Callithrix jacchus: one gene and its partners. The protein of the gene in region 2 interacts with the protein of the main gene of each other region in a pairwise test. Links are inferred from orthologs where the notes say so. Each region holds a gene or a part of one and is shown on either strand. Other genes may lie near its edges.

Region 1 (3,761 bases), on a different chromosome or scaffold from region 2:
TTCGCTCTTGTTACCCAGGCTGGAGTGCAATGGCGCGATCTCTGCTCACTGCAACCTCCACTTCCTGGGTTCAAGCAATTCTCCTGCCTCAGCCTCCCGAGTAGCTGGGACTACAGGCACGCACCACCATGCCCAGCTAATTTTTGTATTTTTAGTAGAGATGGGGTTTCACCTTGTTGACCAGGATGGTCTCGCTCTTTGACCTCGTGATCCACCCACCTTGGCCTCCCAAAGTGCTGGGATTACAGGCTTGAGCCACTGCGCCCTGCCTGAAGGGCTCTATTAGAGTCACACAGTGAGTTAGTAGCAGAGCCAGCACTGGAACCCACTTCTCCTGACCTTCAGCCCTATGATTTTCCCACCACACCACCTAGGCGTGCCTCATACACTCTGTCTGGAGAATTTCCTTCCTTTTTTGAGAGGCAGGGAGAGAACAAGGAGCATTTTATCCCACATCAGTTGGGAATTCACACAATCACTCAGCAGCTTTGAGGAAGCCTGGTCAGTAGCAGCCTAGAACCCTGGCTATTTGGGTTCCCAGCCCTCAGGGCTTTGCTCTGAAGCTTACTCCAGCCGGCCCCAACCTCCCCAAGCTGCCCTGCTAGGGAGGAGCCTGTCCCCGGAGCTGACCTGGTGCCTCATAGGCCTCGTCTGGAGCCTGCCTGGGAGGCTCCCTCTGTGCCCTGTGGCAGCGACGCTGAGCAGATGGGGAGGAGAGGGGTGTGTGGCTTGTGGGTGGGTACGTGGTGGTGCTGACATACTCAAGCTGGAACCATGTTGATCTCACTGGCCCGGATCACTTCCTATGTCGACAACTCCCACGAGTTGCCCCACACCTCACCAGTCAGGGGAGAGACTTCTAGGTCAATCAGGAGGCCAAAAGTTGTCCAGAAGTAGCCAAGTGGGGAGGAAGGCTTGGAGTGGGGTCAAGGCCAGCCTCCTTCTTTTCTGCCTCTCAGCGAGGGATCTAGGGGGCTTCCTGGGCCTTATAGGGAGCCCTGGTGGCCCTTTCAGTGGTGAGCCCTAAACCCAGGCCTGCAGCAGTGCCATAAGGTTTTCTTGGCAACTCTGCCGGGCTCAAGTCAAGACAGGCTTAGGAGCAGCAAGTATCCAGGGCCTTGGCCAAGTGGCCTCATGACCTCAGCCAGGCCGTGGCCTCCTCTCTGTGTGGCAGGCATGGGATTACCCTCTCTGGTGCTGTGATGATTGTCCTCTCTTGGCCGTTCAGAACATCACAGCAACAGACCTCCAGGGCTAGTGGGAGCATCGTGGGACTCTGACTTGGTTTCAACCAGAACAGTGGCTCTTTCCTTCATGGGGTGACCCAAAGTCCAGGCAGTATCCCCCCATGGGACAACTTCTTCCTGCTCCTACAAAAGCAGCTTTGACTTTGCCCCAGGTGTCCCATGAGAGCTGACCCAGGTCTTATTCTCCTTGAAATCATCTAAGCCCCCAGAATAGCACCAGGCACTTAGTAGGTGTGCAGTCTGATGCACACCTTGATACCTTAGTAGGTGTCAATGTCTGATAACTGAATGGGTGATCTTTCCCTTGGCATTGCTTTCTGTTTTGGCCCACAGCTGGCTCCTTGTGTCACCTCTGCCTGAAAGAGGCATTGGGGTCACAGCTCTGCAAGGCTCTGTGTAACCAGAGCATTGGCCCTGCTCAGTAGAGCGGAGTTCATGCCCTCTGGCATGAGAGACAAGTTCCTAACCATCTCATTGGAGGAATGTAGACCCTAAGCTCTTTGCAGGGGAGTCTTCCTTTGTTTGGTTCACAGATAAATCCTAAGCCTCTAGAACTGTATCTTGCACATGGAAGCAGGTGCTCACTCGTTGAGTGGATGGGTATGGTGGGCAGCAGGATTATACCTGCTGGGGGCTCCTCTTCCTTTTGCATGTCCTGTCCAACCTAGCACTGCATCAGGCATGTGGAGGAGTACTTGGAGTTGAACTGTGAGCAGCTGGCACCCTGGGATTGGCAGAGGAAATCCGGAGTGGAGTAGCACTCTTGGCCCTCCCAACAGCAATATAACATTCCCCCTGGGTGGTTCTTACCTGTGTGGGGACTCCAGGCCCAGCTACTTAACCAAATAGGGATAATGAGGCTTGCAGAGCAGGCAAAGTGATGGGAGGAGTAATTAGCTGGGGTTTGGAAGAAGCTGCTTAAGTTAGTGGGGCCACGCCTGGCTGGCAGGAGCTGGAGAGGGCTCTTGGAGAAGCATCCCCAGCTCCTTCTCTCTGGTCTGGGCACTGAATCAGGGCTGATGTGACAGGTGCTGCCATCATGCCAGGGCCAGCGAATCCCTGACCTATTGCTGTCCTGTTTAAACATGGACTTTAAACATGGACATCACCTCCTGGGGCAGATTCAGCTCAAAGACCCCTTCCAGGCTACCAGACATCAGTGAGCCGCATGTTCTGGGGCCTCTGAGTCCAGCCATGCTCCTCTTACCTTTCTTCCTCCTCTCCCCATTTCCAGAAGGGCTTCTTGCCTTACTTAAAATACAGTTTTTAAAAAAATGCTCTGAACCATTGGCCCTTTTCTAATCATGATGCTCTGAACCATTGGCCCTGTTCTAATCATGATTGTTGGGTTTGGCCTCTAGCTGTCTCCTGAAGAGGAGGAGAAGCGTCGCATCCGGAGGGAGAGGAACAAGCTGGCTGCAGCCAAGTGCCGGAACCGACGCCGGGAGCTGACGGAGAAGCTGCAGGCGGTGAGGAACACCTCTGGGTGGGAGCACCTCTGGGTGGGCTGGAATGAGAGCCCCAGGGGTTCCGATCCTCTCTCCCACAGCTGTCTGCTTACCCACAAATACCCTACAGATGAGTCAGTTGAGATAGAGCTTTCCTTCCTTTGGACACATGGGTCAGCATTGTGCCAGTTGAAAAAAAGAGAGAGGGAGGCAGGTGGCCTTTAGCACCAGCCAGGACCCAGAGGGAAGAAATGAACAACCTTCTGGGTGGAGTCTAGCCACTTTTTTTTACCCAATGCCTGAGTGTTCTCTGCTCATGGACCTCTGGGGGCTCCTGGGTGAGGGATGGCAGAGGGTTTCAGTATCACAGGTCCCTGTGAGCCAGGGCAGATCCAGACCTGCCTCCTCCAGGGCTGCTTCCCAAGGTTCCGGCTACTCCCGTGCCTACTGCCGTCAGGAGTGGCCCAGCCTGGCCTGAGCACTCTGCTTGGCGCAGGGGGAAGTCTTGATGGAGATGGGTCACGTGGCAGCCGAGTTGTATTTTCTTGGGGTTTTCTCATTTCCTTTATGGGCAGGCGGGTTCCCTGCCTCTGTCATGAACTCAGAGCCATGCCGGCTGTGGCACTGCATGCTGCCCTTGTGAGTCACTCTCCCATGCTGCCTAATTGCCCAGGCCTGGGGGCCCACAGCCCTGCCCTTCCCTGTCTTAGGCTTGACCTGACCAACGTCACGTAACTCCCTTCAGAGCCTGGCCCTCCAGGAAGGGCTGTGTGCTGTGTGGAGGGCCCAAGCCAGGGTTGACTCTCCCGGGTGGATGCTTTCAGAGCGTGGAGATGAGAGACTCTGTCAGTGGTCCTCATCATGACCGCCCAGGATGGGGCTTTGAAAACATTCCCCTTGCCTCACTTTTTTTTTTTTTTTTAATTATAATTTTTTTGAGATGAGTTTTGTTCTCGTCACCCAGGCTGGGGTACAGTGGCATGATCTCAGCTCACTGCAACCTCTGCCTCCTGGGTTCAAGTGATTCTCCTTCCTCAACCTCCCAACTAGCTGGGATTACAGGTGC
Region 2 (3,478 bases):
GCCCCGCCCATCTCCCCACTTTGGGGGATAGCCCCCCTCGCTCATTCCCGCCTCCACCCTGGACTTGAATTACTGTTGGCGGAGGGCGGGGGGAGGGGGTGAGACGGGGGACGGGGCGTGACCCATTCATGCCGGGAATCGGATCCAGATGTTCCCGCGGCATGTGCAGCTGCATCCTTTCCTTTTTTGGCAAAAAACGTGCGGTGCGAGCGGATCCCGGGCCGCCCCCGCTAATCCTTGGGAAGAGGGGGAAGGGGGCTGAGAGGGTCTGGGCCCAGACTCGGGATCGGAACCGGGTCCTGGCTCTGCGGGCTTTGGGCAGGGCTCCTGGTGGAGGGGACGATTTGCACCAGCCAGTTAAGGAACCCCACCGCCACCCTAGCTTTCGTCTGGAACCTCCCCTAAACCCCTCCCTTCCCTAAATGAAGGAAAAAGCCCTCTGCCAGCAGGGAGGCAGGCCCAGCTCCAGAGGGACAGTAGCTGTGGCGGGGATCCCCTTCCTGGGGAGAGACTTCCCACCCGTGGCCCGGCCCCGCTTCCTCCGCCCTGCAAAGACGAGGTCTAGAAGAGATTCTGAGCCTCCCAGTCTGTAAATACCCTTCCCCTCTATATCCTGAACACACATACAGAGGCCCTGCTTCCTCACACCACTTTATTGCAGAATCTAGAAGGGGGGGTGAGCCAATCTCACCCCTCTGCCCATCTCTGGGCAAAATGGAGCTGAAATAAAATGAGGAGATACTTGGTGGACACAGGCTGGGCAGCACCCTGTCCCCTAAGGCCCCCTAACCAGTGGGCCCCTTATCTGCTGCCCCCAAAGCCAGCCTCAGCCCTGGGGATGGGGTGGGGTGGGTCGAGCCTGGGAACAGTAACTTTTGAGGACTTCTCAGGCACCCATAGGAGACCTAAAATCTATAAAGAGAAGTCTATGTTTAAGGGGGCCTAGGTCCCAGAGTTCGGGTTTGGAGGACTGGAGTCTAGAGCCCAGATTTGGGGAGAGGACTCAGTCTGGGAACCCAGACTGCAGGGCAGAGGGCTGAGTTCTGGAGTCCAGGTGTGGGGAAGGGGCTTGTCTCATGGAGGCTCCATAAGAGCCCAGGTTTGGGGGCCTGGCTCAGGGAGCACCAGTTTGGGGATGCTGGAGTAGGGAAACAATCCCGGAGCCCAGAGAGAGACCCACACTGGGGAGGGGCTGGGTCCCAGAGGTGGTTTAGAAGAGGAGCCACAGTCCTGGGGCAGTGGTACTGGAAAGCCTGGGCTCAGGAGCCCTGGCTCAGGGCCCTGCCTGGCTGCAGCCCTGGCAGAGCACTTGGTCTCCATCTGGCACGAAGCCTTGGCCCACGAGGGAGGTGGAGCAGCGGGCACAGGAGAAGCAGTTGTGGTGCCAGTGTCGGTCTTCAAAGGACACATACTTGCCTCCACCGAGTCCTGGAGGGAGGCCGGAAGTTAGCTCTGCAGATCCGGGGATGGTCTGGCCCTCAACCTCGCCCAATACCACATCCCACTCCCTTGCCTGCAACCCTACCCGCTCCATTCTTTGACCCTTGTCCCACCTACGATGGGGCGCTTGCAGCTGCTGCACTTAGGTGCAAAGAGTTCTCCAAAACAGGCTACACAGTACGGATCTTCATCCCGGGAGGTGAACTGCTGCCCTGCCAGGGGCGTCTGGCACCCAGTACAGACCAGACATTCCCGATGCCAGGGCTGATCGCGGTATGTCACTCCACCCTGTGTCAGCGTCTGTGGGGGCAGCATCCATTAGTAGGTATGAGTGGCGATTCCCACCCCACAACGGGCCTTACCCCCACCTAGCTGGCCCAGCCCCCACCTTGCTGCAGCGGGCGCAGCGAGGAGCAAACTTGTTCTCATAGCACGGCACACAGTAGTGAGCACCCTTGTCGGGCACAAAAGAACGGGAGCCCAGCGGCTGCTCGCAGCCACTGCACAGGAAGCAGTGCTCATGCCACGTCTGGCCTCCGTACTCCAGCTTCCGGGAACCTGTGGGGAACAGGGGTTACACTCAGAGGCTGTGTCCCACGCTCTTGAGGGCCACGCTCTGTTACTTCTCCAGAGTCTCCACTGCTCTCACAGCCTGAGCAGGGTGACGTCCATGCACATGCAGCAAGACCCCCCGCCAGGTACATTACGCATGCTAACCTCTCCCCAGACACCAGACATGATGACTCAGCACGAGCTAGACATGAGGATTTTGGCATATGTTAAGCCCCTGTATGTCCCAGATATGACTATTTCAGTACACAGCAAGCCTCCATGTAATAGTCATGAAGTCTCACTATGCGCTAAGTCCTCATATAACAGATGTGATGGTTTCAGCACTCACACGGGACCCCACATGTGTCAGGCAAATAAGTATCTGCCCACACAAAGTCCTAATGCCCTGGGCCTGACGGGTTCAGTACATGCTAAGCCCTCACATCTCCTCAGCACACCATTGCCCGTATGTGCTGAGTCCCAACATTTCTGTTAGGCATGCAGTTCCCCACATGTTAAGCCCTCTGTTTACCTGCCTCTGCACACGCTAAGACCCAATGCACCAAGCATGACAGTCTCAGCATGCCTCTAGCATCTACATGTACCAAACATGCAGATATTCACACATGCTAAGCCTCCAAGTATGTATCAAATGCGTCAATCTGCCAGCACATAGTGAGCCCCCAGGAGACCAGGCAAACAGATCCTGCATACACTAAATTTCCAGAAACACGGTGTTTGTGCAGGTTTTTACACAGACCAAGTATCCATGTATGAGACAGACACATGCCAAGACCCTACGCAGATGCCAGGCATGCCAGTTCTCATACAAGATAAGCCCCTTGGGGACATACCAGGCATGACAGTTTCCCCACAGGCAGAGCACTGCGAGGAAAATGCACTGCAGTAGCAGTCATTGCAGAGCAGCTCACTGTCCTGGCAGGTGAAGGGTTCATCAGCTAGTGAGCGCTGGCAGCGGCAGCAGCGGAAGCAGCCCTCATGGAAGTGGCGGTCTTCATAGAACAGTTCCTGTGGGGAACACAGCAGGGACGCTGGCACCCAGGCCTGGTAGATCCATCCTTTGCCCCCTTCCTCCAGTCACCACCCACCTCCTGCCCAGCTCGGTCCTCTCCTTACCCTCGAGTCATGCCCGATAAGCTGTTGGCACTCAGCACAGGTGTTGGCAAAGGTATTGTCATAGCAGGGCACACAGTAGGGGCCGCTGTCTGTCTGGATGTACTTGCGTCCATACAGGGACTCACTGCATTTTGCACAGTCAAATGACTCGCTCATGGTGGCAAGGGGAGAGAACCCTGTGGGGAGCACAAGGTAGAACTGGGGTCACGCAGAGGGGCTGTGACTTGGCTCCTGGCAAAGAGCCCTCTGCATTCAATACACAGCAAGAAACCTGGCATAGGAAATGCTGGTTCAGAGTAGGTGGGGATGGGGAAAGGGTGCTTCCGGGAAACCAGGAGTTCTGCATATT
Region 3 (4,206 bases), on a different chromosome or scaffold from region 2:
TATCAAGACTTACCAAACGCCACATTAGTCCTTAGGAAATGGATTGTGCAAATATGAAAAATAAATTTTCTTTTAATTTCTCTATGGAGATGTAATGAAAACACAAGTAATCTGTGGTCATGAACAATTAGAACTTGAAAGTTAGTCCCCCTTCTAAGTATAAAGAAAGTATAAAATAAAAATCACCCACAATCCCACCATTCAAAAATCACTACTCAATATTTCAGCACATTTCCTTCCAATCTTTTTTTCTATTTTAAAAATCATAATAGGCCAGGCACGGTGACTCATGCCTGTGATCCCAGCACTTTGGGAGGCTAAAGTAGGCAGATCACTTGAGGTCAGGAGTTTGAGATCATCCTGGCTAACATGGTGAAACCCCTTCTCTACTAAAAATAGAAAAATTAGCCAGGTGTGGTGGTAGCAGGTGCCTGTAATCCCAGCTTGAGTGACTGACTCAGGAGAATCAATTGAACTGGAGAGGTGGAAGTTGAGGTGAGCTAATATTCTGCCACTGCTCTCCAGCCTGGGTGACGGAGAGAGACTCTGTCTCAAAAATAAATCACTTAATTTAATTTAATTTAAAAACATAGTAAATAGGCTATCTTTAAAAACTCAAGGTTTACTTAGACCATTTATTAAAGAAGTTTGTCCCCTCATCCCCAGGAAAAAATTTTCTATTATCCTCCTGACCTGCAATGCATTCATCCCCTTCAAAGGCAACTCATCAACAGAAAAATCAAATGACACTTTAGCCACTCAGCTGCTTTCCTTCATATTTGAAGCATAAATCATTTAATTAAAATTAAAGATTAACAAAGCCTTGGTCATTGGCATGCATCCTCTTAATTCCAAAGATGGCTTAGCTATTCTTAGCTGTCAGTTTTTTACAAAGGTATTTGCAATGAAAGGGTCAACTTTAGACTTCTCTAAACCTCTGCTCTACCTCTCTCTCTCTCTCTCTCTCTCTCTCTCTCTCTCTCTCTCTCTTTCTTTCTCTGTTAATAACCTTCCTGGTGTTAGACTGGTGTTAGATATTTGTTTAATAATCAATAGTGGCTTCTTTTCCTATCATTGAGTATTTCAGAAAGTAGCATAACCAAGTCAATGTTTAACTGGATTCTTTGGGTCTGAAGTGGCAAAGTTGAAGGAAGTCTCCATGGAAACCAGCCTCCCAGGAAGTGGCCAGAAGGGTTAGTGTGCAGTGATATAGAGCTAGAAGGATGCCTGCTAGAAGGAAATGACTGCTTTGTAAAGCCAGGGTAAACTTCTGAAATGCCTTGATTAAAACAAGCTATATTAAAGACCCCAAAACCACTTCAGTCGCAGCTTTCCTCTGAATGTCTTTCACATGAAATGGGCCTGAGTCGCTCTAAGGCTCACCCTAGGGTGATCAAAGTAGCACCTTTGCAAAACAAAGAGGGAGAGACTCCCTCGGCTGGCCCTGTGGACTTTGCATTCAATCAGAATTTGGAAGAAAAGACTTCATATTTGCCGGCAAGACTGCAGGACCAGAATAAAGCTTCGGAAGGGCAGCTGCCACCTTTACAAGAAACCTCGTATGGAAGATATTCTGCAGGTAAACATAAAACCCAGCACGAGATGTGTGCATCTGGATCAAGGAGCATTATTAATAGATTTATCTGACTGTCTCCATGATCTCAAAAAGTTCCGAAATTACTGAAATGTAAAGGAATTTAGGCTATCTTTGAAAACTCAAACAGATCTTTCAATGAAGATTAAATGTCAATTGAAAGTATTCTGGGTACATTAGAGTGGGAGTATAAACTGCACAAAGGGCTTTTCACTGTTCTATATGAGAAGGAAAAATCATTTCCTTTCAGCTCAGTTTGTAATGCTTTCAATGTTTATACCTAGCTTTGCCAGACGATTAAAATTATATAGATACTAATGTGATAAACGATAGCAATCACGTTTCAGTTAGATTCTAAATTTAAATCATTCTCTCCAGTACAGTTTAATGCACCAGGCTTTGTGGTTTTCAAAACAGCACTTTAGGAGTGAAGTCATTCTAACGTGAATTTTGAAACCATCCTAAACAGAATTGATTTATTGCAGTCCAGAGGAGTGGATGAGTCACCCTTTCCCAGCCCCACATTCTTCATGGTCGTCTGCAGAACGAACAGAATTCTTTAACATTATGATTGGAAGCTCTAAGCCTGAAGTGGCTATAAATTATCCTGGGATATTTTATAAGCCATGTAAAATATTTTATGATGGCCACAATGATAATTAAACAGATATTCTCACTTAGAAAGAGAAATATATGTTTATAATATACACATACGTATACATGTATATTGTTTTCCCTTTTCTTCACCTTCTGGATCATTAACGCCAAGAAGTTTCCCTTATTGGAAGCCTTGTTCAGAAAGCCTCACTTTTTCTTTTGGTACCTAGTAAATCTTGCCTGGAATGATTTTTTATGGCTACTGTCTGGAGAACTGATAACCTTTGGTTGGTTCCATATGACCTATTTTTATGTTCTTTATACTCTCCAAGTTCTTAAGCACATGGATGGGAATTTTCCTCTTAAAATTTTTTAATGGTAGATAGATATATAGGTGATTAGACATGATTTTAAAAATGGAGCATGAATGTGTAATAAGAGTATGCAATGCTCCTCTTGAAGAATTCCTTTTTTATTCAAACTCCCTTCCAGAGTTTTAAGATTTTGGTAACAGAGACTCTTTTTAAAAAAAAAAAAAAAGATTTTGGTAACTGAATAAATGGTGAAAGCTGATTCATGTGCTTTAGAGTCCTAACTGGAAAATGTGCTTATGTTTGAAATGACAAAATCACATTAAATATAAATAACCAGGAGATCATGAGGATTCTGATAAGTATTTTCCATATTCTTACCCCAGCTCCATCAAATACCAAATCGTATGACCTTGGGCAAGTTACTTCATCAATTTTTTTCACTTGTAATCAAGGGTAAAAATAAATGCCTGACATAGCCTATGCCATTTGAGGAGAATCTAATTAAATAATGAAATAATATCACTAAGATCATAAAACAAAATAAGTAGTAGGAAGCTTCTGAAAAAAAAATAGCTGAAAATACTTACATTTTTAAATCCAATATGTTTGTTGTTCTTTCTGTCCTGCTCAGTACACTGGCATCTTTTCAAAAGAAAATAAGGACATGGTTTCCATCCCACTAAAAGTTAGAACAAAGTTCCTAAAATGGTCATTCACATGTCTTAAGGATAGAGATGCATAATTACTCAGGGATTTTTTCATTTTAAATGCAAAGTGGGACTGTAAAATAGTCTACGAAACAATCTAGAAATCAGACTGTGCCCAGATTGTTAAAAGGGAAGGACAAGAATTTCATTCATGCAGCGTTGGTCATGGTAGCACTCCCAAGAGCTCAGGATAATCAAGCTGGAAAATAAAATCCATATGGACCTGTTGAGCCTCTCTGTTTCCTAATAGAGGCTTAACTCTGTATTCCCGGCTTGTTTTATCAGGAAAGAATATTGCTATGTTGTATTATAGTAGCAACCTGTGGACATTTCTTTCCTAGTTAAAAGGACTATTTGATTGTGATTACACATAATCCATTTCTTTCTCATCTTTGTGTAATCACCTATCATCTATTTTATCTGAGAAGATTATTTTCATTTTTTAAAGTTACATGTTTTTTCTGATGTCTTATATTTTGGGGAGGAGATTTTATGGAATTAAAACAAGTCAGTAAATGTCTGTTTACCAGACCAAATTCTGTTTGAAAAATACTTGCAGTCAACATATTGGTAATTTTGTAACTCTTTCCCTGCATATGAACCTGAGTAGGAAGTTAAGAGAGCAGAAATTGAATCCTGGGTCTAGACTAAAATAGTGTCATTTGGACTAATGTGGGTTCCCTGCTTTCTGTGTTTCATCTCCACATTCAACCCATGTTAGATATAAATAACTGAAAAGGTACAAAATTGTGTTGACAAACTCTAGTAACCAATGATTGCCTGGTGTAATTGTAAATTATATTTAATGATTTACTCTTTTTTATTCTCCAATCCTTCAAGCTTCCAGAGATGTGTATTTTGACATCCCATTGGAACACAAAGAAACAAGTATTATTAAAAGGCATCCACCCCAAAGACTGCAAGTAAGATGAATTTAAAAGGCTTCATAAGGAATTTCTTGGATATAATGGTAACATCCCTTTTTAAACTGTAA
Region 4 (3,761 bases), on a different chromosome or scaffold from region 2:
TATTGTTATCCATCCCTCCAGACCCTGCTGAAGGAAGGGACCCCTGAGTCAGTGGAGAGTACCTTAACCCTGACTCCTTCCAGCCATGATGATGGAGCCACCTTGGTCTGCCGTGCCCGGAGCCAGGCCCTGCCCGCGGGAAGGGACACAGCTATCACACTGAGCCTGCAGTGTGAGTGCAGCCGGCCCTACAAAGAGGGGTGTGGGGCCCTGACTACTGGGTATGAGGAAGGAGGGGACTGTGGCCCCTGGGGAACCAGGACACTGGGGCTGGACTCCTGGATCTAAAAGAGCAGGAGAGGGCAGAGTATAGTGGCTCATGCCTGGATTCCCAAGCACTTTGAAAGGCCACAGTGGGCGGATCACCTGAGGTTGGGAGTTTGAGACCAGTCTGGCTAACATGTTGAAATCCCGTCTCTACTAAAAACACAAAAACTAGCTGAGCGAGATGGCACATGCCTGTAATCCCAGCTATGTGGGAGGCTGAGGCAGGAGAATCACTTGTACCTGGGAAGCAGAGGTTGCAGTGAGCCGAGATAGTGCCACTGCACTTCAGCCTTGGCGACAGAGTGAGACTCTGAGCAGGAGAGGACAGATGGCTGGGGTCCCTGGAGAAAGAGGAAGCTGGGCCTGGACTCCCACCTCTGGGAGAGTAGGAGAGGACAGAAGGCTGGCACATTGGGATGCCTGGAGGAACTTGGAACTGAAAGCCTAGACTCCTGGCTCAAAGGGAGAAGGGGACTAGGGGCCCAGATTCCTGGGGTGGAGGAACTAGGGACTGGACCCCTAGGCCAGTGACAGAGGTGTTCCTAGTCCTGACCATCATCCCACCCTCACAGACCCCCCAGAGGTGACTCTGTCTGCTGCGCCACACACTGTACAGGAGGGAGAGAAGGTCACTTTCCTGTGCCACGCCACAGCCCAACCTCCTGTCACAGGCTACAGGTGAGGACGAAGACCACCTCTCTCCAGCCCCAAGATGAGCTTGGGAAGGGCTGGGACCAGAGTAGGTGTGCCAGAGAGCGAGGACACTAACTGCGCCACCACTTCCTCAGATGGGCAAAAGGGGGCTCCCCGGTGCTCGGGGCCCGCGGGCCAAGGTTGGAGGTCGTGGCAGATGCCTCGTTCCTAACTGAGCCCGTTTCCTGCGAGGTCAGCAACGCCGTGGGTAGCGCTAACCGCACCACTGCGCTGGATGTGCTGTGTGAGTTGGGGCAGGGCTGTGGGTGTGGTCAAATGTGGGCGTGACTTTCAGGGCTGTTGGGGCGGCACCTGGAGGGGCGGGGCCTGGAGAGTGGGCGTGGATTATTAGGAGAAGGAGCGTGTGAACTTGGGGCTTATTCTCGCGCCCTAGAGGGTGTCATGTTTCTGTGGGGCTGATCCAGGATCAGGGGCTGCATTCCGCCCTGGCCATGTGACCCCTCGTCTCCCTCGTCCAGTTGGGCCGATTCTACAGGCAAAGCCGGAGCCTGTGTCCGTGGACGTGGGAGAAGACGCCTCCTTCATCTGTGCCTGGCGCGGGAACCCGCTTCCACGCGTAACCTGGATCCGCCGCGGTGGCGCGCAGGTGCAACCCTAAATCTGAGGCGGTAGCTGGCGGGGAACCGGGTTTGCTTGCAAATCCGACTTCTGACGCCCCTTCCCTGTCGCAGGTGCTGGGCTCTGGACCCACGCTGCGCCTTCCGTCGGTGGGGCCCGAGGACGCAGGCGACTATGTGTGCAGGGCTGAGCCTGGGCTCTCGGGCCGGGGGGGCGGCGCCGCGGAGGCTCGCCTGACCGTGAACGGTGAGAAGGCGGGGCTTCCTAGGGCACCTAGAGGGCCCTTGGATTGGGAGTGGACGGGGGGACCAGGCCTAATGCAGTGGGAGTGGCCTGGAAAGAGCTTTACACCCAGCGGGGCATGAAGATTGGACCTATCGAAGGCGAGGCTTTTAGGAGAATCTGAGTTTGGAAACGGCGTGGCCTGATTGGATGAGAGTGCCTTGGCCCGGCCCGGCTTTGTTACAGTCTTTGGGGCAAGACCTGTCCTGAGTGACCCACTGTCTCCATCCCAGCTCCCCCAGTAGTGACGGCCCTACACTCTGCGCCTGCCTTCCTGAGGGGCCCCGCCCGCCTCCAGTGTCTGGTTTTTGCCTCTCCCGCCCCAGACGCCGTGGTAAGGAAATGTCACTCCACTCATGACCCATCCAGCTGTGATCCCTGATTTCCCACCTGGCCCTCCTAAACTGCTGTGACCATCTCTGACCTCCCAGACATCACTCCCGCTTCTTCCCCCACTCCTGTCTCCTCGGTGTCCTCCCTCTTTTGTGCCCCCAGGTCTGGTCTTGGGATGAGGGTTTCCTGGAGGCAGGGTCCCGGGGCCGGTTCCTGGTGGAGACGTTCCCTGCCCCGGAGGGCCATGAGGGACAGGGTCCGGGCCTGATCTCGGTGCTACACATTTCGGGGACCCAGGAGTCTGACTTTAGCAGGAGCTTTAACTGCAGTGCCCGGAACCGACTGGGCGAGGGAGGTGCCAGGGCCAGCCTGGGCCGTAGAGGTGAGACCCCAGCCTGAAGACCTCAAATCTGGAGAGTCTAAACCCCACAAACGCAGGGATCCCCCAACCGAGGGCTGCCAACCTCAGACCCTCAAATGCAGAGACCTCCAAACCTTGGGAGTCTCAAAACTGTGGACTCATGGAGTCCCAGGACCCCCCAACTACAAATGCCTTCACATTCTGAATCCTTAACTGAGAGACCCCTCACACTGAGGGGCCCCAAAAAGGACCCTCCAACGATTGCAAAGCAAATTGCAAAGTAAAGGACCCCTCAAACTCTAGGACTCCCTAAAGCCAGGGAATTTAAACTCACATACTTGCAAAATTCAAGGGTCTTTGACTCTCCAAATGTGAGACCTTTTGAACCCAGGGATCCCAAACTCAGTCCCTGAGCCCCCGCTTCCTGGTTCCCCCTCAGCCTTCTCAGGATGTCCCCTCTACTCCCTGCAGATTTGCTACCCACTGTGCGGATAGTGGCCGGAGTGGCCGCTGCCACCACGACTCTCCTTATGGTCATCACTGGGGTGGCCCTCTGCTGCTGGCGCCACGGCAAGGGTCAGTGCCTGAGCCCCGCCCCTGCTCCTCAGGCCCCAACCCCACACACACCCTGCCTGCCCAGTGACCTGACCTGGCCTTGGGCCCTGGCTCCAGTCCCGTAGGTCGCCTTCAGGTTTCCACCCGGAACCGGGCTAGCTCTCCTCAAGCCCTAACTCGCCCTTCCCAGGGTCACGCTCCTTGGCCTGGGAAGGATTCTCATTGGTTCCCAACAACCCCACCCGATCCGCCTCGTTGGTTCCCAGTCCTCTCTTTTCCCGCTTATTGGTCTGCACACACTGTCACCCCGCCCATCGCTAACTCCGCCCCTCGCTGTTCGTCAGCCTCAGCCTCTTTCCCCGAGCAAAAGAACCTAATGCGAATCCCAGGCAGCAGCGACGGCTCCAGTTCGCGAGGACCCGAGGAAGAGGAGACGGGCAGCGGCGAGGACCGGGTAGGATGCCAGGGTCCCCAGACACTACTCTGCCTCCAGACCCAAGTAATAGCCCAGTCTCAAGAGGGACCCCAAACTCAAATAGGGCTTTAATGCTGGACGTGGTAGCTGACGCCTGTAATACCACTTTGGGAGGTGGAGACACCAGGATCACTTAAGGCCAGGAATTAGAAGCCAGCCTGGGCAGCATAGTGGGACTCCATCTCTACAAAAATACAAAATAAAATAAAAAATGAA
Region 5 (4,322 bases), on a different chromosome or scaffold from region 2:
CGGCGGCTGCTGGCCTCTCCTCGCTCCCACCCGACTCGGCGGGACGCCCAGTGTTACCGCTGCCGTCCTCCGGCTCGCCGATCGCGGGGGCCGCCGCGCTTCCAAGCGTCCTGCGGCTCGGCCGAGCAGGCCCAGGGGTTGGCTCCCCGAGGAGGCCCAGCCAGCGCGACGGGGCCCGGGCGCCTGAGGGAAGCAGACAGAGGTCCTGGCGCCGCGCCGCGGCTGCACCACGCCCGCCCCGATCGCGTCCCCCACGGGTCCCCTCGCCCTCCCCGAGTTCCTTCCGCGCCCGCTCCGGGTCCCCTCCGCCCCCTCGGGTCCCCGCGCGCCCTCCGCATCCTCCTCCCGCGGGTCCCGCAAGCGCGCTCACCCACGCCGAGCATTCGAGGCAGCGCTGCCGAGGAAGGCGCCATGGCGGGGACGTGGACGGGACGGGGCCTCCCTCCGGGCCCGGCCGAGCGGCCTTCCCTCCCGCCACCGTCCGCGCGGGGCCGCAGCACCACCTGCAGGCCTGGAGGAGCCACGGCGCCGTCCCCGGGCCGCAGGGACCTCCCTGCGGGGCTGGCGAGGGGGCGGGGACGGAGGCGGGGGCGGGGCAGACGAGGGGCGGGGACGGAGGCGGAGGCGGGGGCGGAGCAGGCGACGGAGCAGGACCCGGGGTCCGGGGCTCTAGAGTCTCTGGCGGGGAGTGGGGCCACGTTCCTCGCCCTGCAGCTTGCCCCGCCCTGCTAATGTGCCGAGCCGGCCCGGGAGTCCCCTGACCCTTGGGGGCACCCGCTGAGCGATGGGGACCTTCGCCTCCCGCCACGTGAGCTGTGAACCACGTCTCGCGCAACCTCTGGCTCTCCAAAATTGTTTTTAATATTTAAACGATATTTGGCGTAGGAGAATCGCATAGAGTTAGCGAGATCTCGGGTTTCAATTTAGACTCGGGGTGCTGGGGGCGTGGCATCCCTGGAGGACACTGGACAGCGGACGTCCAATCGCTGCCTGCCGCGTGAACCGGCAGCGCTTAAACCCCGTCACCTGGCTGGCGGGGTGCTAGGCCCTGGGGTTCCTTTACCCCGGGAGCCCACGCCCCGATGCTGGGGTGCCCCGGTGCCCCCGCGGGCGGCTGGAGGCCTAGGGCTGCCCCACACGACGGTTCCAGCAGGGAATCCCTGGCCGTCCTGACCTTCCCGGTCCCTGGGGACTCGCCCTCCGAGGAGCCCGGTCCACGCGCTGCGCCTTTAAGGCCCCGCCGCTCGCGCCCCCGTCACGTGACCTGGCCGTCGCTAGGCAACAGGACGCGGCCTAGTCCCGCTTCCCGCCGGAGGCGCAATGGCCGAGGAAAGCCCCAGACCGTGCGGGGAGCCTGTGGAGCCCAAGGCCACGGCCCCGCCGGAGAGGACCAACGACTACTACCGAGTGAGCGCGGACCTGCCGGGCCGATTCAACAACCCGGGGTGGTTCCGGGGCTACAGGTGAGGAAGCCGGAGCGTGCCTGGGCCTGGCGTCCCCTGCTCCATATCCCTGTTTGAGAGGCCCCGCAAGACCCCCAAGATCCTAGCTACGGAAGTCAAGAGGAGCGAGTGGTCATCGGGGGCCCGCGCTGTCATCGCCCACCAGTGAGCTGAGGAAGTGCTCCCTAGAGCCTGATACAAGGAAAGGGTCAGGCGGGGTCAGGCGGGTTCAGGCGGGGTCAGGCGGTGCGGGGCCGCGGGGGGATGAGAAAGCCCAGCTGTGGTCTCAGCTCCGCGGTTTTGTGTCGGATGAGTCACCTCTCCTCTCTACCCTGAAACTCTGCTGCAGGGCATGAGCACAGCAGCACCTCCACTGTCTTGCTGCGGACTGTGAGCTGCCACAGGGCGCCGCAGACTAAGAAGTAGTAAGGAACTTTGAATTCCGACAGGCAGGTGCAGGCATCTGGCGGTGCCCCCGGGTTTGGTTTCTCAACAGTCCTCTAGGGCAGGGTTTGTTCGTATCCTCGTTCTCCCAGAGAGATGATGGGGATGTAGGAAGAATAGTTTGGACAAGATCTGGGGTTACAGTGGAGCTACTCTGTGTGCCTGCAACCTCTCAGTGGCCTGTCCCTGACAGGGGCAGTGGTACCAGTAGAAGCATGGCCTCAGCGAGGGTGGGGGCTCAGAGGCAGAGGGACCCTCTGGGTGGCAGGATCTGGAGGCCAAGCCTCCACTCCTGACAAGGTGACTAAGTTACCCAGAAATTGCAGCGTGTGCCAAGGCCCTGCCAGGGCTGGGGGTCAGCACTTGCTGGCTGCCTGCTCTTCAGGGCTTTGGCCTGCTTTGAAAGAGCAGGGACAGTTGTGAGCAGAGGGGGCCAGGGAAGCTGGGCCATCCAGGACCGTCAGCCAGGCACTCATGGAGGCTGCCTTTGAGGCTGCATCACCAGCCCAGCCAGGCACATGGCTCTTTCCCTGGGAGCATTTCCAGGGGAGTGCCGCCAACAAAATACAAGGCTGTGGCTTGGACAGAATTAGATTGAATGAATGAAAACAGTGTTTCTCATCCACCAGCACCCAGAAGGCTGTCTCAGTGTACAGGACCAGTAACCAGGCTTACGGGAGCAGAGCCCCCACCGTGCACGAGATGCCCGTAAGTGGGAAGCAAGACCGGGTGTTGGGGGGCCAGGGGGTGGGCAGCCTCAAAGAAGAGGCTAAAAACCTGGGGTTCTCAATAGGTCAACAGTGAGACGGGGAGGGGTACACCCAGGGAGGGGCCCAAAGTTCCAGCATGACAAATGGGGAGGAGGGAGGTTCCTCAACTTGTTTGGGAGAGGGTAGGGTGGAACTCAGCGAGTAAATACATTTGGGAGTGGAGTTTTTAAAAGAGGAGGAAAGTGCATATGGACGTGCTGACATCACTCTGTCCGCATACACCCACCACACGCACGGCAGTCACACATGCGTGCTGACATCACTCTGTCCCCATACACCCACCACAAGCATGGCAGTCACACATGCGTGCTGACATCACTCTGTCCCCATACACCCACCACACGCCAGGCAGTCACACATGCATGCTGACATCACTCTGTCCCCATACACCCACCAGACGCACAGCAGTCATACATATACCCAACCATCTCCTGCAGTTTATAGCAGTCAGTTTTGAGGCAAATCAATGAAGGGTTCCTTTCTTTCTGGTATTTTACTTTATGAGATGTTAACTTGTGACATTAAGAGGCAGTACAGGCTGATGGCATAGCCTGTGGGCAGGCAAGGCGCACTGGTGGGCACAGGAGCCTGTGGGCCTTTGGGGAAGCCAAATGCCTTTTGAGCTTGACCTCAGGCCCCCCTAGAATCTCCCGGAACCAAGCCTCCTGCAGGTCCAGGTGAATGGACAGAGGGACCTGGGAAAGTGGGACAGCCATTTTGGGGTGAGAATGTTGTGGGGCGTTTTTTTCTTTGTCAAAACATTCATCATTGAAAGGTCTGGTGAATGCTTATTTAGTTGTGTTGCATGAATGGCTGAGCTCTCGTGAGAAGGTGATTACTTATCTAACACTGCTGGAGCATTTGAGAATCACTTTCCCAGAGTCAAATGACCCTGAGTTTTCCCTGGAGATCAGGTATTTCTATGAAAAAGACCAGACACAGCTGGGCAGGGTGCCTCACACCTGTAATCCCAGCACTTTGGGAGGCTGAGGTGAGAGGATCACTTGAGGCTAGGAGTTCAAGACCAGCCTGGGCAACATAGTGAGACCCCATCCCTACAAAAATAAAATAAAATAATCAGCTGGGTGTGGTGGCATGCACCTGCAGTCCCAGCTGTTCAGGAGGCTGAGGTGGGAGGATTGCTTGAGCCCAGGAGGTTGAGGCTGCAGTGAGCCGTGATTGTGCCATTGCATTCCACTCTGGGTGACAGAGCCAGGCCCTGTCACCAAAAACAACAAGACCAGAACACTCACTCATATGGCTCCGGATGTTTTCGGTTTTATAAAAGGCCATGAAAACGTGTCCCTATTATAAATGGTAGGAGCCTTCATGCCACTGACATGGCCAGGTGATGGCATAGGAGGCACGAGGGACTCCTGACAGGTTTCAAAGGAGGTCTTCCTGCTTCTTATCCACCTGCTGCATCTGGAGTCTGTGTTCCAGTTTCGTGACCAAGGGCGGATGCCAGAGAAGCTGTTTACCTCCCATGTGGGAACAGAAGACAAATGCTTGCATTAAAAAGTGCACTGAAGGGCTGGGCACAGTGGCTTATGCTTGTGATCCCAGGATAACCTGAGGTCAGGAGTTCAAGACCAGCCTAGTCAATGTGATGAAACCCCATCTCTACTAAAAATACAAAAATTAGCTGGGCATAGTGGTGGACGCC
Region 6 (4,549 bases), on a different chromosome or scaffold from region 2:
CTTGGTGAAACGCTGTCTCTACTAAAAATACAAAAAATTAGCTGGGCATAGTGGCTGGCATGCGCCTGTAATCCCAGCTACTCGGGAGGCTGAGGCAGAAGAATTGCTTGAACCTGGGAGGCAGAGGTTGCAATGAGCCGAGATTGCACCACTGCACTCCAGCCTGGGTGACAGAAATAGACTCCATCTCAAAAAAAAAAAAGCTCTGTAGGCACAAGATGAAAACCCAGAGTCTCCCTGACTCTTCCCTCCTGAGGCCTGAGGCCTTCCCTGGGAGATAGGTACCGTGATCAGGTGAGAATGGCCCTGCCAGCTGTAGGTGGTGGGCCACGCCTGTAATGCCCACACTGCGGGAGGCTGAGGCAGGAAAACTGCTTGAGCCTAGGAGTTCAAGACCAGGCTGGTCAGCACAGAAAGACCTTGTCTGTATGAATACTTTAAAACTTAGCCAGGTGTGGTGGCACACATCTGTAGTCCCAGCTACTTGGAAGGGTTAGGTGGCAGGATTGCTTGAGCCCAGGTTATAGAGGCTGCAGTGAGCCAAGATCACACCACTGCATTCCAGCCTGAATGACAGAGTGAGACCCTATCTCCAGAAGAAAAAAAGAAAAGAAGAAAGGAGAGGAAGGAAGGGAGGGAGGGAGGGAAAAGAAAATAAGGGAAAGAAAGAGAAAGGAGTGAAGGGAGGGATGGAGAGCATGAGGGAGGGAGAGGAGGAAAGGAAGAGAAGGAAGGAAAGGAGGGAGGGAGGAAGGGAGGGAGGAGGAGGGAAGGGAGGAAAAGAAGGGAGGAAGGGAAGGAAGGAAAGGTGGGCGGGCTCTCCTGGGGGAAATTCTTGTAGGTCCTGTGCGAGACCGGTGCAGGGCCTCCCAGGTAAGGCGCACAGACCTCCTCCGGGTGCTCTTGAGAGCACACCTTTCTGTGCCTCATTCATTCCCCAGCCCGGTGCTATCAGTGCTCGGTCACCTCCGGACCGCCCAGCCCACACTGCACCCCAGTGTCCCCTGCAGAAGCCCAGGCTGTGGGGCAGAGAAGGCGTGGGCACTGGCTCAGAACCACTGCCCCCAGAGCCAGGAAAGCTTGACCCAATGGTCAGTGACCCCGGTAAGGCCCCATGTCCTCAAGCCGCCAGGCACTGCCAGGAGCCAGGAGATCCCCGCTGGGGGTCAGGTGGAAAGAGGCTGAATCCTGCCCAGCGGGTGCACGGCCCCCAGGGCCAGAGGTCAGGATCACGCGCCCCGAGGCCGCCCTCGCCGCGCCGGCCAGGACGCGGTGGAATCAGGCCGCCTCAATCCGCGCGCCGGGCTCCGGGCAGTGCCCAGCCCCGCTATGGGCCTCAGTTTACCCCACTGTCCAAAACACGGCCCCCGCCCCAGGACTGCAGAACTGTCTACTCTGGGCTGCGGGACCTGCCGACGGGGGCGACACCGCGAGCAGGGGGGTCGCGGGGCAGCGCGGGGTGTCCCCTCCCGCCCCCTCCCTGTCGCGAAGCGGCCGCGGGAATAACGCGAGAGTTCGCCCCCTCCCCCGCGCAGTAAAACTGTCAAAGGTGGGAGGGGCGGGAGCGCGCATGTGCGCAGCGCCGCGCGCAGCCTGCGCCGCCCGGACCCCACGCCCCGCGCCCCGCGCCCCCCGGCCCGGCCCGGCCCGGCCCGGCCGCAGCCCCGCTGGGCGCCGCAGGTAAGCGCCCGGCCGCGCCCCGGCCCCTACTCAGCCGCAGCCCCGGCGCCCGCCGCGCCCGATCTCGACCCCGCGCGCGGGCCGAGGAAGGGGCCGGGCCCAGAGCCCCCCGCCCCCCGCCGCGCCCGAGCCCCGGCGCCCCGCGCCGGCGCCGTCTTCCTGCCTCCTCCTTCTCCAGAAAAAGTCGCCATTTTGGTTCACTGCCTTCGCCCCCCCACCCCGCGCCCGTGACCGGCCCTGCCCGGCCAGGCCGAGGCCCGCGCCCCGCGCCCGGCCCCAGGTGACAGGTGGGTGGCGAGGCCGGCCCCAGGTGCGCGTCGCTGGCCGCGCTTCCCCGCGCGCCGCGCCCGGGCCGGGGTCCCGGGCGGAGCGGCCTACGCGGCGGCCCCGCAGTTGGCGTCTTCTGCGCGCAGCGCGGCCAGCCCCCTCTCCCCGCCAGGGCTCGGTGACCCCGCTGGGCTCGGGAGGGCCGAAGCCCCTTATCCGGGGCGCGAGTCGCGTCTCTGCCCCCAGGCTGGCCCTGGCCTCAGGTCCCACTACTGTGAATTCTTCGCCCAGGCTTCAAAAAAATTGGACGTGGGGCCTCAGCAAGCACCTGCACCCCAGGCCACCGGGGTCGTCAGGGGCTGGGATGACTCCTGCCGGCCCTGTCTCCTTTCGAAGTTGCAAAGTGAGGCCTTCCAGAGAACTTTGTCCCCGACACTGGCCTCCCCCTTGGCAATGGGCGATGACTGTCCTGACCTCTGACCCTGCTCTCTGGCCCTTTTGGACACAGTGGCCCCTTCCCATACTCTGGGATCCAAGTTAATTAGAAGCTGTCAGGAGGGGCCACCTCCCCACTCAGCCCTCACCCTGCTTCCTGCCCCACCCCCTTGCAGGGCCTTTCCACAGGTCTGGGCCCAGCATCTCCTCTGCTCCCCAGCTCTGCAGCAGTACAGGCCCTCAGGGGCCCAGCCTGGGGCAGCAGGACGTTCTCTCTGGCCAGCAACCTGGGCCTTCACTGCCGGTGCTTCTGAGACTCGTTTGGTTGAAGTGGTGGTGGCGGGTCAGTAGATGGGACTGAGAGGCTTCAGAGAGAGGTGGGGTGGGGGGGCAGATCAGCCGCCAAGCCTGGAGACAAGGCCGCCAAGGGCGGGGACAGGAGCTAGGTGCAGTGCCAGAGTAGGCCAGGGGTCCTCAGCCCACCTCAACTGTTTTCCATCTGCGTCTGGTGAGGATTCCAAGGGTGCCTGCCTGGGTGGGCTGGCACTGCATCAGGTCTGCCTGGGAAGAGATGAGGGCTCCGGTGAGAAGGTGGGCCCCCCTGCTGGGCCCAGGCAGCCTGTGAGCCAGCAGCCATCACCCGAGACATAATTGGCCCCCGGAGGAATGTTGCCAGCCTCCTTACTCCTGCACAGGCACCTCTCTTGGGGACACACCCCTCCCAGCTCTGGGTAGGAGTGCGTCAGCTTCGGCAGCATCTCCAAAGCTGCACACCTGTCAGGAAGGGGGTCTGGAAGTTGGTGAGGGTCTCAGCACAGGACTAGGTCCTTCCAAACTGACGATGCCTCCTGGGTTGTCCGAGGAGACCCTGACAGGCAGCTCCCCCTACATCCGAAGCCCCCATCACTTGTTTTCCCATGTGAGCAAAACCACGGAGGCCAGGCTCCTCTTCCCTGATCAGAGAGGGCCTGCGGAGGACGGGGCTCCAGGATCCCATCACGTGTTCTCAGGGGACCTGTCATGCTTCACAGAATGTCCACTTGTTCTGCAGAGATGACGGATCCTTTCTGTGTTGGAGGCCGTCGGCTCCCAGGGTCCAGCAAGAGTGGTCCCGGGAAGGATGGCAGCCGAAAGGAGGTCCGACTGCCGATGCTGCACGACCCACCGAAGATGGGTAAGAGGAGTCGGCCAAAGTCGATTCCAGGTGGTTCTGGGCAGCAAGTCATAGGAGTGGGCCACCTCCCGACGTCCTGTCTTCAGGCACCCAGCTAGGCCATGGGGTTCCTGAGAACATAAGCAGGGTAGCCTCACCTTGGATGTAGTCCAGGGCCCTGGGTTCTTGTCCTCAGCTGGCCACAGCCCCTGGCCTGGCGCCCTGGCGTTGGGACAGTGGTGCTCATTGTGGGCCCGTGCAGCCCCCAGCAGTAGGCAGTGCTGCACGGCTTCCAGCCTTGCTGTGTTCTGTGCTGCAGGGATGCCGGTGGTCCGTGGTGGACAGACAGTGCCCGGCCAAGCCCCTCTCTGCTTTGACCCAGGAAGTCTAGCCAGCGACAAGACAGAAGGGAAGAAAAAGGGGCGGCCAAAAGCCGAGACCCAGACCCTCCGAGACATTCCTGTGAGCTCCCTCAGGGCCATGGTGGGGCTCACGCTGGGGTCTCCCTATCAATCAGCGACACGGTGGGGCTCACGCTGGGGTCTCCCTATCAATCAGCGACATGGTGGGGCTCACGCTGGGGTCTCCCTGTCCAGACATTCTCCTGGCCTGATCTGTCCTCTGCACATCTGGTACCAACTCTATGCCTAAGGTGTGGGCACTGGGCTGGCAGGCTTCCTGAGGCCTGGCTTTGTATTTGATGTGCCATGAGATTCCGGGGGTCACATTGGTGGGCTCCCAGAACAGGCCTTGTGCATGGCCAATGCCGGAATGGCTTGAATTCCCACCGCAGTCCCGAGGTTGAGGAGCTCATGTGGTGTGTGTACACTGCAGGCCCAGGGAGGGCTCTGAGTCTGGGGCTTGGGCTGGCGGTGGCACAGTGGCTGCAGGTCAGCAGCGCCGCCTTTCCCCACGCCCAGCTCTCCCTGATGAACGCCTGGAAGGATGAGTTCAAGGCACACTCGAGGGTGAAGTGTCCAAACTCAGGGTGCTGGCTGGAGTTCCCCAGCATCT
Region 7 (4,528 bases), on a different chromosome or scaffold from region 2:
GCTCTGATGGTGCCACTGGGCATAGGAGAGGGGCATGCTTCAGTGGCATGTGGCTGCATGACCGGCAGTCCTGCTAGCAACTAATGGGGGGCGCTGGCCACACCTCGGGATTCTGTGTTCTGTGCTGGACGTCACAGCTGACGGGGGGCACTGGCCACTCCTGGGGATTCTGCGTTCTGTGCTGGACATTTCCTCACTAGGTAGCAGGATGTTGTCAGCTCTGCGACAATCTCTCACAACTGTTTGGACTGAAATGTTGCTATGCTGCATCTCTGATACGTGAAATCTGCCCTGCCCTCCCTCTTTGGGTCTGCGGGACAGGAGCTGTCTCAAGATGAATCCGGTGGGGGGCATTTCAGAGACTGGCACGGGTGGATTTGATGGCAAACTCCTTCACCTTCTCTCTCTCCTCCTGCCATTTTCTTTTGCAAGGAAAAAGGAGCCCAGAATTGGGTGAACGGTAAGGCCTTACTTCCATCCACCCAGTCACTGACCCATTCACGAGCTCATTCCCCAACCACAGAGGAAGAACGTCACCAGTGACTTCCGGCCGCAGCCCCAGAAACAGCAGCACCTCCTACAGCTGCGTATCAGGACCGCTCTGGTCTTGCTTTCTTGCTTTTTTTTTTTTTAGAGACAGGGTTTCACCATGGGCTGAATCTCTTGACCTTGTGATCTGCCCACCTCGGCCTCCCAAAGTGCACAGCCGTGAGCCACCACGCCCGGCCTTCTTTCTTTATGGAGTCTCCCTCTGTCACAGGCTGCAGTGCTGCGGCGCGATCTTGGTTCACTGCAACCTCTGCCTCCCGGGTTCAAGCCATTCTCCTGCCTCTGCCTCCTGAGTAGCTGGGACCACAGGCGTGCCCCACAACGCCCGGCTAATTTTTGTATTTTTGGTAGAGATGGGGTTTCACCATGTGGGTCAGGATGGTCTCAAACTCCTGACCTCGGGGCCTCCCAAAGCGCAGGGATTACAGGCAGGAACCACCGCCCCCTGCGCCCCCCCTTTCTTTTTGAGACAGGGTCTCACCCTCACCCAGGCTGGAGTGCAATGGCAGGATCTCGGCTCACTGCAAACTCCACCTCCTGTGTTCAAGGGATTCTCCTCCCTCAGCCTCCTTAGTAGCTGAGGTTACAGGCACATGCCGCCACATCTGGCTAATTTTTTTTAAATTTTGAGATGGAGTCTTGCTGAGTTGCCCAGGCTGGAGTGCAATGGCGCGATTTTGGCTCACCGCAACCTCCGCCTCCTGGGTTCAGGCAATTCTCCTGGGTCAGCCTCCCGAGTAGCTGGGATTACAGGCACGCGCCACCATGCTCAGCTAATTTTTTGTATTTTTAGTAGAGACGGGGTTTCACCATGTTGACCAGGATGGTCTCGATCTCTTGACCTCGTAATCCACCCGCCTCGGCCTCCCAAAGTGCTGGGATGACAGGCGTGAGCCACCGCGCCCGGCCTCTGTGTCTTAATAGAGGGAAGCCCTCTGCAGATCCCCTCAGGTGTCCTTCCTAAACAATCCAGGACTAACCCTGGATCCCAGCACAAGCCCAGGTGACCGGCCTTGTGGGCAGCCCGGGGTTAGAATGTGGGTGTGGGGAATGTGGGGGCGTTCTCCTGTCGCCACGGTGACCACAGACACATTTGGGTGTGGAAGGAGAGAGGCCGTGGGCTGGGGAGCCACCTGCATATGGGGGACGCCAGGCAAGGGCGGGGTTCACTGGGCAGCCAGCACTCCGAGGCTGGGGGTGGGTCAGAGAAGGAGCCGGATGGTGACCCTCGCGGCCTCCAGAGCTCTGCGAACGAGAGCCGGCGGGCCACAGAGCCCAGACTCCAGGACCTGGGCCATGCAGAGCTGGGCCCTGAAGACCCAGAAGGGGAGCATCCCCCTGAGGAGCGGGCCGGGGAGGAGCTCCCAGAGACCCTGGACCCCAAAGACGCCGTCTATGAATTGGAGAGAGCTCTGGACCAGGACGCAGAGGAGGACATTCCTGAGATGAGGTAGGCACCGGGGGGCAGGGGGCTGCCCGGGCACGGGGTGGGGGTAGGGCTCAGCCCCTGGCCATGGGGGAGACAGCAGCCCCCACACCCAGCAGTCCCCAGGGCAGCTTCCCAGGCACAGGAAAGTCTTGTTCCCAGCCTCTCCCTGGCTTGCTGCTCCCAAGGGGCCCTGCTGAGGCAGCCCAGGTGTTGGCCCAGTCAGAGGGCGGCCTGGGTGTGGGCTGGGTCAGACGGCGGCCAGCACCCCTCCCTGGGGTCCGAGGCAGACGCCAGCAAACACTTCCGTGCAGTGGCGGGGGGGGAGTAAACTGATTTTGGAGTCAGGCACGCTGAGTTCCGGCGCCCAGAATTCAGGGTTTACAAGTGATGACCTCATATCAGAGAGAAAAAGAAATGGGGGAAAAAATTTCCCAATTTGTCTGGGGAGAAGTGGCTCAGGCCAGTCATCCCAGCACTTTGGGAGGCTGAGGCGGGCGGATCACAAGGTCAGGAGTTTGAGACCAGCCTGACGAACATGGTGAAATCCCATGATGATTTGGTGAATCAGCACCAGGGGTGGTGATTCAATCATTTGGGGCAAATTGCCCGAGTGACCCCAGCAAGGAGTGCACGCCTGGCGCCTCCGGGGCTCGCTCCTCGCCTCCCGCAGCGCGTGGTCTCCGCGCACGTCCAAGCCCAGCTGCCCCTTCTCCCGTGGGCCCTCTTCTTGGGCCTTTTCCCCGGCTACGACCCGTGCTGCCAAGAACTCAGCAGCGGCCCTGCTCTCTCGGGCTGTGCTGACCTGCAGAGAAAACAGCGGGGCATGAGGGGCTCCCGGGGAGGACGTGGGAGCCCAGGGCTGTGTCAAGGACGGACACAGGGGCAGGGAGGTGGGCAGAGGTCCCGGCGCTCAACCCCGTCACCTGCTGCCTGGTCCTCCCGCAGTCTGTGAGCTTCCTGGGAGGCAGGAGCTGTGCTCTTTGTAGCCTGGCTGCCCCTCTGGGGCCTGGCACACAGTAGCTCCTTGATAGATGCTTGTGGGTTGAGTGAACATCCCCTCAGTACTCACTGAGGCACCCCACCGGATGGGGGCCAGTCTCATCCCCGGTTCACAGAGGAGGACGCTGAGGCCTAGGGAGTCAGGAGTCCCGGCCAGGGTCTTCCATCCCGCACACTTTGGAGCTGGGGTTCAGTCCAGGCCTTCCTGAGGCCAAAGTCCTCCCCCTGGAGACCCTGGCGGGAAAGGAGATGTGTGTGTGGCAGGGGTGGGGTGGGGGGCACGGTGGGGGGGAGGGGGAGGCGTGAGCAGGAGACGGGGGTGGGGTAAGTGGCCGACGAAAGGTGCTTGAGCAAGGCCCAGGCCGTCTGGCTCCCAAATGCATCATGGTGGAAAAGCAGCTCCAGCTTAGACATGGAATTCTCCCGAAGCCGGCTGTCCATCAGCCAGAAGATCCCTGGCACCGCCGTGGCCAGAGCGAGGAAGAAGAGGAGGCGGCGGAGGCTCAGGGAGCTGGCAGAGCCCAAGAGAGACTGGCAAGTCGTGAAAGACAGGTGAGGCCACGGTGGGGGCGGGGGCAGGGCTGGGGCTTCCTCTGCACCCTCCCAGGCTCCCCCGTCCCCTCTGCTGGCTCCCCTCCCCCAACCGCCACCAAGTCCGATGGACTCAGGGGTTAGCTGGCTACGGCCACACACCAGGACTCACTGGGAACTCTGGCCCTCCGGGCGGTGGCCAGAGGAGAGTGAGGAGTCCGGGAGCAAACGGGAGACCCAGGACAAAAGGCGGTGGGGGCTCGGCCCCCGTCTCCTCACAGGAAGGGCTGCTGTTGTGGGGGCTATGCCTGGATTTCCCCCTGCAAGACGAGCCTGCAGTTCTGTCTGTACTGGTAAGTCCAGGGCCGTCTCCGCCATCTGTCTGTGCTGGGGGACACGCAGCAGGTTCCAGGGAACCCCTTCAGTCGGCCACCCTCTTCTCTCCAGAGAGAAGGATGGGAGGGCTCCTCAGGTTGGAGGCTCTTGCCCCCAGGGCTGCTCCTGACTTCAGCCTTGTGCTCTGGACTCGGGGCAAGCAGCTGTGACCTGGGTCTGTGGTTCCGCTCTTCCCCCAGCTGCCTCCCCCTCTGGACACGAGCCTTACTCAGGACAATCCGTGCGTCCCCTGCAGTGGCCTCCTCTGGCCTCCCCCTCTCCCTGCAACTCTGAGCCTCCCCTTGGCCGCCCTCCCAACAGAGACCTGGGCTTCTTTCCGGCAGGTCCTGGGCTCTCTGCCCCCTTCCCTGAGCCACCTGCTTGTTCTAGGCCATCTGTGTACTGGACCGAACGGTTCCTGGAGGACACCACCCTCACCATCACAGTGCCCGGTAGGTGCCGCTGTGCCTGCCGAGGCCCCTGCCCGGCCGCTGCATCCAGGTGCTTCTGGCCTCCCCTGGCCATCTCCGCAGAGCCTCTGTCCTCCCCACTTCTCTCTGGGGTCCTGCTCTGCAGTCTGTCCCCTGAGGAGCCAGAGTTGGCTGAGGTGGTCCTGGGGGCGAGGGACGCGGGGCACACTCTCCA

What was found.
Region 1: the proteins of FHL3 (region 2) and FOSL2 interact in binary tests that used the Homo sapiens proteins (3 or more experiments, as listed by UniProt). The two-hybrid records come from large-scale screens. The link is inferred for Callithrix jacchus from reciprocal best matches to the Homo sapiens genes FHL3 and FOSL2.
Region 3: the proteins of FHL3 (region 2) and CCDC198 interact in binary tests that used the Homo sapiens proteins (3 or more experiments, as listed by UniProt). The two-hybrid records come from large-scale screens. The link is inferred for Callithrix jacchus from reciprocal best matches to the Homo sapiens genes FHL3 and CCDC198.
Region 4: the proteins of FHL3 (region 2) and KIRREL2 interact in binary tests that used the Homo sapiens proteins (3 or more experiments, as listed by UniProt). The two-hybrid records come from large-scale screens. The link is inferred for Callithrix jacchus from reciprocal best matches to the Homo sapiens genes FHL3 and KIRREL2.
Region 5: the proteins of FHL3 (region 2) and PIERCE1 interact in binary tests that used the Homo sapiens proteins (3 or more experiments, as listed by UniProt). The two-hybrid records come from large-scale screens. The link is inferred for Callithrix jacchus from reciprocal best matches to the Homo sapiens genes FHL3 and PIERCE1.
Region 6: the proteins of FHL3 (region 2) and ZNF512B interact in binary tests that used the Homo sapiens proteins (3 or more experiments, as listed by UniProt). The two-hybrid records come from large-scale screens. The link is inferred for Callithrix jacchus from reciprocal best matches to the Homo sapiens genes FHL3 and ZNF512B.
Region 7: the proteins of FHL3 (region 2) and SPMAP2 interact in binary tests that used the Homo sapiens proteins (3 or more experiments, as listed by UniProt). The two-hybrid records come from large-scale screens. The link is inferred for Callithrix jacchus from reciprocal best matches to the Homo sapiens genes FHL3 and SPMAP2.

The regions. Positions count from the first base shown.
Region 1 is NC_133515.1:86,640,033-86,643,793, reverse strand, and holds part of FOSL2 (fos-related antigen 2), read left to right. Parts: intron 1-2,608; coding exon 2,609-2,716; intron 2,717-3,761.
Region 2 is NC_133508.1:74,574,088-74,577,565, forward strand, and holds the end of FHL3 (four and a half LIM domains protein 3), read right to left. Parts: intron 3,306-3,478; 5' UTR 3,286-3,305; coding exon 3,130-3,285; intron 3,022-3,129; coding exon 2,847-3,021; intron 1,999-2,846; coding exon 1,829-1,998; intron 1,741-1,828; coding exon 1,554-1,740; coding exon of another isoform or gene 1,526-1,553; intron 1,429-1,525; coding exon 1,274-1,428; 3' UTR 639-1,273; downstream 1-638. UniProt on the Homo sapiens protein: Recruited by SOX15 to FOXK1 promoters where it acts as a transcriptional coactivator of FOXK1.
Region 3 is NC_133509.1:92,135,001-92,139,206, reverse strand, and holds the start of CCDC198 (factor associated with metabolism and energy), read left to right. Parts: upstream 1-1,217; 5' UTR 1,218-1,356; coding exon 1,357-1,579; intron 1,580-4,052; coding exon 4,053-4,135; intron 4,136-4,206. UniProt on the Homo sapiens protein: May be involved in tuning the metabolism, energy expenditure, and excretion processes.
Region 4 is NC_133523.1:32,042,133-32,045,893, forward strand, and holds part of KIRREL2 (kin of IRRE-like protein 2), read left to right. Parts: intron 1-21; coding exon 22-172; intron 173-839; coding exon 840-945; intron 946-1,055; coding exon 1,056-1,204; intron 1,205-1,439; coding exon 1,440-1,567; intron 1,568-1,652; coding exon 1,653-1,785; intron 1,786-2,054; coding exon 2,055-2,155; intron 2,156-2,316; coding exon 2,317-2,536; intron 2,537-2,986; coding exon 2,987-3,091; intron 3,092-3,414; coding exon 3,415-3,524; intron 3,525-3,761. UniProt on the Homo sapiens protein: May regulate basal insulin secretion.
Region 5 is NC_133502.1:184,009,342-184,013,663, reverse strand, and holds the start of PIERCE1 (piercer of microtubule wall 1 protein), read left to right. Parts: upstream 1-1,290; 5' UTR 1,291-1,320; coding exon 1,321-1,463; intron 1,464-2,515; coding exon 2,516-2,594; intron 2,595-4,322. Other genes in the region: MRPS2 (small ribosomal subunit protein uS2m), read right to left, coding at 58-183, 371-413. UniProt on the Homo sapiens protein: Microtubule inner protein involved in the attachment of outer dynein arms (ODAs) to dynein-decorated doublet microtubules (DMTs) in cilia axoneme, which is required for motile cilia beating.
Region 6 is NC_133506.1:59,440,530-59,445,078, reverse strand, and holds the start of ZNF512B (zinc finger protein 512B), read left to right. Parts: upstream 1-1,572; 5' UTR 1,573-1,680; intron 1,681-1,833; exon of another isoform or gene 1,834-1,967; intron 1,968-2,558; exon of another isoform or gene 2,559-2,602; 5' UTR 2,603-2,725; intron 2,726-3,413; 5' UTR 3,414-3,414; coding exon 3,415-3,556; intron 3,557-3,854; coding exon 3,855-3,997; intron 3,998-4,455; coding exon 4,456-4,549. UniProt on the Homo sapiens protein: Involved in transcriptional regulation by repressing gene expression. Associates with the nucleosome remodeling and histone deacetylase (NuRD) complex, which promotes transcriptional repression by histone deacetylation and nucleosome remodeling.
Region 7 is NC_133523.1:384,943-389,470, reverse strand, and holds the start of SPMAP2 (sperm microtubule associated protein 2), read left to right. Parts: upstream 1-1,634; 5' UTR 1,635-1,688; coding exon 1,689-1,999; intron 2,000-3,406; coding exon 3,407-3,529; intron 3,530-3,789; coding exon 3,790-3,861; intron 3,862-4,273; coding exon 4,274-4,335; intron 4,336-4,528. UniProt on the Homo sapiens protein: May be involved (but not essential) in spermatogenesis.